3 linked regions of the Astyanax mexicanus genome follow. The protein of the gene in region 3 purifies or fractionates together with the protein of the main gene of each other region. This does not show direct contact. Links are inferred from orthologs where the notes say so. Each region holds a gene or a part of one and is shown on either strand. Other genes may lie near its edges. The genes, in order: klhl36, golga5 and slc6a15.

What was found.
Region 1: the proteins of slc6a15 (region 3) and klhl36 purify together in Homo sapiens (co-immunoprecipitation; 3 studies listed by BioGRID and IntAct, counting the BioPlex papers as one, with this or other methods). This does not show direct contact. The link is inferred for Astyanax mexicanus from reciprocal best matches to the Homo sapiens genes SLC6A15 and KLHL36.
Region 2: the proteins of slc6a15 (region 3) and golga5 purify together in Homo sapiens (co-immunoprecipitation; 3 studies listed by BioGRID and IntAct, counting the BioPlex papers as one, with this or other methods). This does not show direct contact. The link is inferred for Astyanax mexicanus from reciprocal best matches to the Homo sapiens genes SLC6A15 and GOLGA5.

Annotation. Positions count from the first base shown.
Region 1 is NC_064416.1:17,483,515-17,487,271, forward strand, and holds the start of klhl36 (kelch-like protein 36), read left to right. Parts: upstream 1-887; 5' UTR 888-1,023; coding exon 1,024-1,026; intron 1,027-2,761; coding exon 2,762-2,845; intron 2,846-2,956; coding exon 2,957-3,757.
Region 2 is NC_064414.1:7,827,802-7,831,558, forward strand, and holds the start of golga5 (golgin subfamily A member 5), read right to left. Parts: upstream 2,803-3,757; 5' UTR 2,607-2,802; intron 1,709-2,606; exon of another isoform or gene 1,063-1,708; intron 952-1,062; 5' UTR 944-951; coding exon 265-943; intron 1-264. UniProt on the Homo sapiens protein: Involved in maintaining Golgi structure. Stimulates the formation of Golgi stacks and ribbons. Involved in intra-Golgi retrograde transport.
Region 3 is NC_064416.1:21,350,960-21,354,716, forward strand, and holds the start of slc6a15 (sodium-dependent neutral amino acid transporter B(0)AT2), read right to left. Parts: upstream 2,640-3,757; 5' UTR 2,446-2,639; intron 1-2,445.

The sequences.
Region 1 (3,757 bases), about 3.9 Mb from region 3:
GTCATTATTGTGAGATACTAAGTTATTATTTCAAGATGCTATTCCATTATTTTGATATTTTATTACTTTGTGATATTAAGTATATTTTGAAACAAGTTATTATTTTGAGATACTAAGTCATTATTTTAAAATAGTAAGTTATTATTTTAAGATGATATCTCATTATTTTGATACACTTTGTCATTATATTGAAATGCTATCTTATTATTTTGAAATACATTACTTTATGAAAAGTCATTATTTTGCAGTACTAGTCATTATTCTGAGGTGCAATTTTGAAATACTAAGTCGTTATTTTAAAATGCTATTTTGATATACTATTATATTAAAATATTAAGCCATTATTTCGAGATGCTCTCATTGTTTTGATAAGGCGTTATTTTGAGATGTGATAATTTTGAGATGTTATGTCAAGATTTTGAGATGCTTTCTCATTATGTTTAGATGCTGTCATTGTTTTGAGATGCTAAGTCGTTATGTTGAGATGCTTTTTCTTATCTCATTATTTTGAAATGCCATCTATAATAAAATACACCTGGCAGTTTACTGCAGAATTCTGTACACTGATTTTTTTTTTCATTTTCAGTTATTACATGACGTGAAGAGCTTAAATGGCAAAAAACACATTTGTATTCTTGTACTGAGTTTTAAGGTGTAGAAAGGGACGTTTAAATATTTTTAATAAATAAAATAATTATTATGGAGGGTATTATTAATTTTTCAAATATGTAATGCAATTCAAAAATGAAGGTTTATCCAGGGTTCTTGGATGTGAGTGATGTATCTGTGGATTACACTGGTGAGATTTGATCCACGTTAATAGTCTTTGTTGTACAATGCATGTCAGTGTGTCAGGGGTGGGACTTTTATTATGAAAAGTAGCTATAGGTTCCAAAACGAGGTAGCTGGGCTAGCTAAAGTGTAGAAGTGAGTTTCACTGGTCCTGAAGCTTTTCACGAGCGAAACTGTTAATAATAATTAACCTACAGCGTTTTTCGAGCTCTTCGGGAAGACAATGACACAATGGTAAAATTATCTCGTCTTCTTATTAGCTGGTTGTCATCACAGAAAGATGAGAAGAATCGCTGCAGATTTGTCAGGCTAGCGAACTATTGTAGTGCCTGTGTGTGAGGCTCTGTTATTCCTAGTGTTATTTTTCCTGATTTAACTTTCCAGTGAGAATAATAGTTAGTTAAGTAACACAGTTTCTGTTTTATCGCAGAGTATAGTGTGTTCTAAATGCCGTAAGCTTGCACATTTCTTCTTAATTCTTTAAATTAAGTTTCTGTGTCAATAAAAACTGTTTTAATGTGCCTGTCTTTAGCCAGCTAGCCATCGACTTTACTCTCAGCAGGTCTGCAGAAATCTTGTTTTAAAGGGACAAAGATTTTAAACTATTTTTTTAAACCCTACAGTGTGGACAGTTTTAGTTTATTGCATTAAGTATGTATAACAGGTATTGTAGGAATTGTATATCTATATTACCGGGCATTCGGTCGACTGTAAGTTTAGTAACTAGTTAATAAACATAGCTTATAAACTGCTGGATGCCACTTTTCTGTCTATCACTCTTCTGTCTATCTCTTTGTCTCTCTGCCTGTCTATCTCTCTGTCTCTCTCTTTATCTCTCTCTCTGTGTCTCTCTCTATCTGTCGCTCAACGTTGATTTTATGTTTAAATCAACATTGGATTTGGTGTTGATTTTGAAGTGAATCAATGCTGTTATGGTCACCTTCTTTCAACGTCGTACGTTTTAGCTTAAAATTGTATGAATTATGAAAAAAAGTTTTATTTTAATTCTTGCTCTCTCTCTGCATATACATATCTGAGAAATAGGAACTGTACAACTACAAACAAAAAGCTTCAATTACTACAAGTGGCTAAAACTAAAAAGTCTTAAAGTTAAACTTACATCACTGTAGTAAAGCTGAGTATAAAGAATTTTACCCACTACTACCAATCTGACTGAACAGCTGATCTCAAAAACACAACAGTAAACATCAACATACCACCAGAATTGGTGCCAAACTAAAAAGCAATCACTACAAATAGAAGTAAATCACTTTTTCATCCCTTCATCCAGCTGTTTTTTGAAATTGTATGGTGATGAAATGTAAAATGCTAATTCAAAAGGTAGAATTAGATTGATTCAACAAATAAAACAACATGTAATGTTGTTTTAACATTGAAACAACAACAGACCTTTCTTCAGCCATATTTCAACCACATTTTAACGTTAAAGGTCGGTTCTCTCTCTTTCTCTCTCTCTCACTCTCAAACTCTCTCTGCATGTAGGAATACCTCATCTTCTCTTGTAGAAGTAGCTAATCCAAGTGTATTTCTTTCTATGATTGGTGTGTGGCTAAAGCTACACTACACAGACTCCAGTTGGTATATTTGTTTAATAAAAATGAATACTGTCCAATATTGTAATGTAATGTTATGTAGTTTTAAAACATACTGCTTCTACCCCTTTTTTAATTAAATATTAAATTTTAATAATTGAACATAAATTTACTAAAGGCACATTTAAAGAAATAAATGTTATTAAATGTAATTAACCGAAAAGTAAGTTCATACTATTTTCATTTGTTTTACATTAGAAAAAAAAAGTTTTCCTCAATCAGCTCAGAATGATTATGACAATTTGTATACTGATTCAGAATATTTAATGAGAAAACAATTTGTTTTTCCACCCCTCTATTTCACCTTCAGTTTGTCTATATGTTTGAGACTATTATATCGTTCTTTCACTTTGTAGATAGTTTTAGAGGGAGATGACATGATGGATGGTGGGAGGCAGGCTCGTCTTTCACGCCCACACAGAATCAGCGAGTCTTCAAAGGTGTGTGAAATCCTCCTCAGAAAGTGTGAAATGTTACAAATTTTAAAGCATTTTCATTAAATCTCATGTATCATGATTCTCCATCTGCTCGCATGTTATTTTTTTTAACAGGTTTATCGATGGCCAGACCAAGCTAGCTATCTCCTTCAGGGTTTGAATGAGCAGCGAGAGTGTGGTCAGCTGTGTGACGTGGTCTTGGTGGCCAATGACCAACGGGTGGCTGCGCACCGTGCCCTGCTGGCAGTTTCCAGTCCTTACTTCCAGGCCATGTTCACCCTCGGCATGCGGGAGGAGCGTCAAGCCGAGGTGGAGCTGGTTGGAGCCTCCTACGTTGGTGTGAAGGCAGTTGTGGACTTTTTGTACAGCGGTGAGTTGCCTTTGGATGGTGGGAACATTGACTATGTGCTTGAGACAGCTCACTTATTGCAAGTGTGGCAGGCAGTGGATTTCTGCTGCCAGTACCTGGAGAAGGAGGTAAGCGAGGAGAACTATCTATACCTTCAGGAACTGGCCTTACTTTACAGCCTAGACAGGCTGGATGCCTTCATAGACCACTTCATCCTGGAACGGTTCTCCACACTGTCTTTCACGCCTGAGTTCTTGAGGGATGTGCGTTTGTCCAAGCTGTGCTCATACCTGGCGAGTGAGCAGGTACAGAATGAGAGTGAACAGGCACTTCTTCAGGCTTCTTTGCAGTGGCTGACCCAAAGACCTGAGCGCTCAGCTTTCGCTTGCCAGCTCTTGTCCAACATTCGCTTTGCACTGATCCCTCTGGATGAGCTCATGGAACAGGTGTTGCCTGCAGTGCGCTCCCTGCTGCCTTCAGACTCTGGTTGCGAAGCTCTGGTGGAGGAGGCACTAGGCTACCATGCCCGTGTCAGTGCCCAGCCTGTGCTGCAGACAACCCGCTCA
Region 2 (3,757 bases), on a different chromosome or scaffold from region 3:
TCCTAATAGGGCTCTCAAATAGCAAACATGTCCTACGTTACTGACTACATTTAAACAAATTTGGGTGTATTTTTGCTGAACAATTTGTTTAACTGTAGCTGCACTGCCAAAAACAGATGATGTAATCGCTTTACTAAGACTGCATAACCTGGCTCTGATGTAGGAAGATTAATCAGAACTATACACACAGCAAGGAAAAGACATAGAAAATGTATCTCTTTGGGTCAGGTTTTGGACTAAACTGCTGGTTATGCATGGTGGTACCTTGGCTGAAGTCTCGGGCAGAGCCGTCCTCAGTCTTGGCACTGTGCGTGCTGGCGCTGAGTGAGCTGAGGCTGGAGTTTCTGGACAGACCCCGTGTAGAAGGTGGGGTAGCTGGTGTCGAGGGGACACCCTGGGGAGCGGCAGTGACTGATCCAGCCATTACCTGTCCCTGAGCCAGACCTTCCATGCTCATCACACTGGACGATGTATCTCTCCTAGACTCCATTCTCTCACTTTGTGGTGGATCTGAGCTGTTCAGGAAGTCAAATAGGAGATCATCATCCACCTCAGGTTTTTTGGGCCTGACAAAATTGGAGGAGGCTCTAACAGAAGAGCTGCCACTGCCGGAAGGGGCAGAGCCCAGCTGAGTTGAGCTGTACACATTGGAAGTGCCGGCGAGCACAGTGGCTTTGGATTTCTTAATGTTCCCAGCTGCTGCAGAGATAAATCCATGTGTCTCCTGGTTGGAGGATGGACCAGGGTACTCATGCTGGGGCTGAAAAGAAGCCCTATAGCCTGCGGAACCCTGCTGAGCAAGAGGGTCAACAGAGTCCTCAGGGCTGTAGGATGACAGGGAGGATTTTCGAGTCGAATTTTTGGTCAGAGCTGTGGCTGCTCCCTGGTCCACTTTGTTTAAGAAGTCCTCGGCTCGGCCTGCCAGATCAGTGAACCAAGACATCCTGAGGGCTGAGAAGACAATAATTTGTGGTTACCAGACAAAGCCCGATTCTAATACTTGCATATTCTCTGATTCTTGTTAAACCTGCTACGTTTTAAAATGAGATGTTTTGCAATTACCTTTAGCAGCTAAAAGCAAGCCATCATGATTATGTCATCATCATCATGTCCTGTCTGTTAAATTGTCTCATCTGCTGTATTTATTGTAGTGTTATAGTTTTTCTGTTGCACTTTTTCGTACACTCTTTCACTTAATGTTTGTCTATTGTATTGTTGTTCTATGTTGCATCATGGTTCCGGAGAAACAGAGTTTCGTTACACTGTTTATCTGTACTCAGGTGTAATGACAATAAAAGCCTCTTGACTTGACTTGACATATTAACTAAGCCATTTGAAATGCATTGTTTTGTGATGTCAGAAAAAAACAACAAATTTACATGTCTCCAATGATTCAGCCAATCCCTTATTAGGTTTTACCATTGTTATTCTGATCTGTTTCAGCCTGGCTACATTTCTAAATGAGGCACAATACACTACAGCCAATCACTACAACTTACACATCAAAATATTCTCTATACTTATTGGTCAGAACTTTATAGGGCGGGACCAAGAAAGTAAATACAGGAAGAAGGTCCTGCCTCCTGGATCAGTGCATAATTCTGTGTAGTTTAACATGGAGCAAGATTTGTAACGTATTACATAGCTGTAGGAATTATCTACAGCTTTACTTTAAACTTTTAGAGTACACCTGACAACAGAGCTAAAAAATATTTTTGTTTGAACTTACTTGTCTAAGGAAGCTAAAGAACTAAAGAAAAAATATTAATAAAAATGAGAAGGTGTGTTGAACTTTTGCCTGATACTGTATATAATAACATAACATTAAGGCACTTATTCAAGCTGCCATTCATTTATCCTCTTGATAAAACTAAACAGATTTGTTGAACACCTGTCAACCTGTTTTAAACGACCTCTTACCAGTCATTACCCTCATTCAACACCACAGCCCTTACTGTTTCTTACATAATAAGAGTCCCTTGTCCTACCAATACAGTAACATAATTATCCATTATGATCTATTTGACTTGTCAAGTAAATAGCTACAGTATACAGAAGGTCGTTTATATCTTGGCTAGATAGGTTAGCTAAATCTGAATATATGATGTAGGCACACCCAAACCAGTCTAATTACAAGCTAGCTAAGGGTTAACAGGATTGTTCTGATTGTGCCATGGCACAACAGGACTCTTTAATCAATAACTAAGCAAACAATCAATATATCCAACTAGCTAAGCTGGCTAAATAACTAAACTCTAACGAAGAAATGGGGCAATCCTTCCAAAAACAGTTAATAATAAACATAATTTAAAAAAAAGTATTAGCTACATTAGCTAGCTAGGTTAACTACTCAACATACCAGCATAAACACTGTTAAATTACGATAACTTTAACAACTATAGAGTTAAACAATAGCTAGCTACTGTGTTTTATGACTTCATATTCAACAAATAAACGGCAGCAGCTTTAGAAATATAACGTTAGCTAAACTAGTTATAGTAGGTGAACTTGGTAAACAGAGCAGTCAGGGAGTCTTAGCCTAGCCTGGTTTAGCTTTAGCTTAGCTTCCCTCAGTGATGTGGATATTAAATGGTTTAATGTCGTACCTGAAGTGTTTCAGTTTATCTGAAGAGAGAGGCAGAACTCGTTTAAAGGCATTTTTCTCCAATAACTCGGGACCCAGCCCCACCCACTGTTATCCGCGGAACTCTGACAACAGCCAGCGCTAATGTTGTCATTCCTCTCCTATCAGCATCAGCTGAAATCCGGCTCTACGTGGCCCAGAGACGCGTTAAAGGACCGGAGCTCAGAGTGTGTTTACCGGGCAGGCAGAGCGCTGCTGCCCCCTACTGCTGCTGCCTAACCAGCTCCACCAACCAACACCACTCTAACACAGCAAAAATGCATTTAAAATTGCTAAGGAGATTTTTATAGTTAACTTTGTGTTAAAAGTTTTTTTTTCCTCAAAAATATTAAAGTTGCAAATAAATCGCAGATTTTATACAAATAAAATGAGCAGAAACAAACGAAGAGATTCCAAAAGCAGACAATATCTACAAAAATAGAAAGAAAATCGAAAAAGATTTTTTAAATTACCTTTTTTATTACAAATTTCAAGTGTTTGATATAAAGTGGTGACATCATGTAAAAAAAATAAGCAAGATTCTAATGCTAGCCATGACTAATTAAGGCGTGGGAACAAGATCCTTATGTGTGGAAATGAGATAATTAAATTGTGGCCATGACCTATTAAGATGTGGGAATGAGATAGTAGCCAGAGAATAATAAAGCTTGCTTTTCTGTAAATTAATGCCAATGAAGAAGACTGAATATTACATCAAAGCTCCAATTCAAGAATAATCTTTTGTAAGAAAATGGAGAGTGAATTGGTTTCTTGTTCCCACGCATTAGGATCTCGTTCCTTCGCCTAAATAAGTTGTGACCATGCATTATTTTTTTAACATGATGCTCCGCAGTTTGAACTTGGTGTGACTGGTGGATTAATACTTGGCCCCTCTATGAATGTTGTGGCCCCTTACTGTACAAATCCTAGATAAAATAATATAAAATACTCATGTGTTAATTTTTCTCAACATAAAACGATATCAAATGTTTCAGCGTTTTTTAACGCTTTAAAACCCCAAATGTATACATCTGAACTCAGTGTTCTAGCTGTTACTTCATCATGAGCTCACCAGCAAAATTAGCTCATAAGTTAGTTAGCATTAGCCGTAATGCTAGCGTCTTCACTGCATAA
Region 3 (3,757 bases):
CAGGTTTTTGTTTACCCTGTTTCGGTTAGTAATTAGTTAAACATATTACTAAATACATCAGCAGATCTTTAGAGATTACCAATAAAAATCAAGGGAAAAAAGTAAACTACCGGTATATGGAATTAGGCTGTGTATTGGTAAGAAGTTTGCGATACAATGTGTATCATGATACAGGAGTTACTATTCGATCAATTACGAGATACAATGATACTATACACAATAATGTGTACTGCAATTGTTAAAAATTCAACTTTATAAAAAAAAAAAACAGTGAAGCTGTGAGATCAGACTTGGCCATTGCTCATATCTGTTTTAAAGCATGAAGCTATACATTGTCCCAACATAACATTGTGTCTCCATTTTATAAGTAATGTATGTGTACACATCAATACATAATGTGTATTTGGCAGTAGTTCCTTACATTCTTTACATCAAAACTTAATTATGAATAGACTAAAAAGAAAGCATGTGTTTTTGTGCTTCACATTTTAGCCTACATTGTCCTAACATAGCATAATTAAAACAAAAGTATTGCCTTTTTTTATTAATGGTGAAAAATTATACACACACATAATATAATATATCATATATACACACACAATTAGAGATTGGTGATTAGGTGATGCAATACAGAAACTAGTTTCACAATGCTCAACACAGCACAGTGTACCAGCATGTGTACACATTTGTATCTGGCAGTTGTTTTTTACATTGTTTCAAAATTTAATGATGAATGGACTAAAAGAAATGCTCCAAAATGAACTGTAACAGAATATTTTTTTACTAAACATATGTAGCTAAACATTGAGTAAAGTGAAAAGTGTTGTTTTATTTTATAAACTACAGACAACATTTTTCCCAAAGTTCAAATAAAAATATTGTCATTTTGAGTATTTATTTGCAGAAAATGAGAAATGGCTGAAATAACAAAATAGATGCAGAGCTTTCAGACCTCAAATAAAGCAAAAAAAAAAAACAAGTTCATATTCATAAAGCTTTAAGCACAACTGGAATAACTCTGGTTTTTAATCACAGTTTAATAACAGTTAACAATGTTTCATCTTGGCATGATCTCCTTCACCAGTCTTACACACTGTTTTTGGATAACACTCCTGGTGCAAAACTTCAAGCAGTTTAGCTTGGTTTGATGGCTTCTAATCATCTATTTTCCTCTTGATTTTATAGGTTTTCAATTTGGTAAAATCAATGAAACTTATCATTTAGTGATCTATATATATATATACACACATATATATACATATATATATGTATATATATATATACATACATATATATATATATATATATATATATATATATATATATATATATATATATATATATATATATGTATATATATATGCAATAGAGTATAGGTGATGCAATAGAGTAATTCGTTTCACAATGCTCAGCACATCAGCTGGATCAGTATTCATGCATTCAATATATGATGTCTTCAGATCACAGCACAGCCTACCGACATCCCCAGTTATGCAATCACGACTACTTGTCAGATATCTGTCCGGTTGACCTATTTAATCGCGAGCTTTGCTCTGAAACGATCCTCTTTCTTTCCCCTGCGCTCTGATGATACCGGAGCCCACAAGCACGAGGTTCATTTGCATAAGAACCCAAACACTGCTCAGCATCGCTCAGCGGCCAATCTGAGAAGCGCACCGTGCTCAGACCCTCACTGATACACTGTTTTACTGTTTCTGGGGAAAAGCGGATCACACACACCTGCTACACCGATCTTTTACCATCTAGAGCTAAAAGTAGGCTAACCCCGTGATTTTACAGCGGTGAAGTGTGTTCAAAAAACACACACGGCAAATTGCTGCTACCCTCCATAGCAGCTTACAGAGCTCATCACCAGGATTAGCCTTCACTAAACGCGTTTCCTTTATACACATTTATACACAAAGTAGCAAAATATTAATATAAGAATATCACCTTAAATATTGTAAAATCTAATTCATGTTTAAACACAAATGAAAACACTGCTACATAAGCTTTAAATCAAATTGTAGAGGGTCGTCACTAAAATAACCTAGCTAGAAATGGTTTCACCATATGGAGCTCACCATCATTCAATTTCTATAGCACACAGTCATCGCAGGTTAACTAGCGTTATAGTGGTAGCTATAGGTAAGGTTGCTGGTTGAATTTATATAGCAAGTATTAAAATAATCAACATTTCATTCATTTTTTTAATAAAAAGCGATTTTTTTGAAGAAGAAAATAATAGTTATTTCAGATATATGCATTTTCTTTCCAAATGGGTTGAAGAAGAATTAATCAGATTCCCCGCCCAAATTCCCTGTGCCATCCATGTGGCGTATTTCATCATACACTGTGCACTGACTGCACTGTGAGGCTGGCTGGCTGCTGGCGCATCCTTCCCCCTCTGTACAAAAAAAATCACGAGAAAACAGATATTCTTACCTTCCCGGGTTAAACAAAACGTGTTCAATAAGTGTAACGGCTTCCTTTAGCCCGTAATAAGTATTTATATTATATTTAGTGAAATCTGCGGGAGCCGGTCAGCATTACGCATCTCTCCTCCTGTATCTAATTCTAATGATTCCGCCGGTGCTGCTCACAAGACGCTTCGCCTTCAGTGACATTCATTCAAACGGATATGCTGAGGGGGGAGCGGGCTTTCAGCAGCGAACCACAAACCAACAGCCTGCTGATTTAAAATATTTTACAAAAGGTAAAACACGTTTAATGTATTGAATTACCTTAAAAACGAATTTTAAATTACAATTTAAGTTACGTTAAACGGGGCAAAATGGATCTCCCAACATCCCTCCCCCCTTACTAAAGCGAGTGGTTCAGTCTACTACATGGTGCACACGCTAAGATGGTTCATGTGGGTGGATTTCGCTCTCGAGGCCATGCACGCGATATCCCGCCTTTCTCTTATAATATATGTATCAGTAAATGTATCAAATGACGTGTGTTCTATATCTAACGACCATGAGTATCGCATTTATTTACCCATGTAAATATAATTAATATTAAAAAATACAGTCAATATAATAACCTACATATTTTGCAAGAATGACCGGTAACCTATTGCAAGTCTGATTATATATGGTGTACTGTTGCTTTATGCGCTCTCTCTCTCACCCCCTCCATCTCTCTCTCACACACACACACACACACACACACACACACACACACATACACTCATTCACTCCCTCATTTACAAATGCTGGTCATTCTGATTAGTAAGCCTGTATAATGTATTGATATAAGCGTTCTCTATATTTAATCAAAATTTGTTTGTGCCACAAGCTCCACTGTTTCACAGTTTTGCCCCCAGCAACCAGATCAAACCTAAGCGAGCTCCAATATTGATTTAGTCTGAGAGTGCATTTCAGATCTATGTGGGACAGCCACTCTGTCCTATAGTATAAGCCTCTAATTATATATATATAGCTCTGGAAAAAAAATAAAGAGACTACTTCAGTTTCTGAATCAGTTTGTCTGATTTAACTATCTATAGGTATATGCTTGAGTAAAATGAACATTGTTGATTTATTATATAAACTACGGACATTTATTTAACTATCTATAGGTATATGTTTGAGTTAAATGAACATTGTTGATTTATTATATAAACTACGGACATTTTCCCCAATTTTCAAACAAAAATGTTGTAATTTAAAGCATCTATTTGCAGAAAATGAGAAATAGCTGAAATAACAAAAACAATGCAGCTTTGAGCTTTTAGACCTCACCAAGTTCA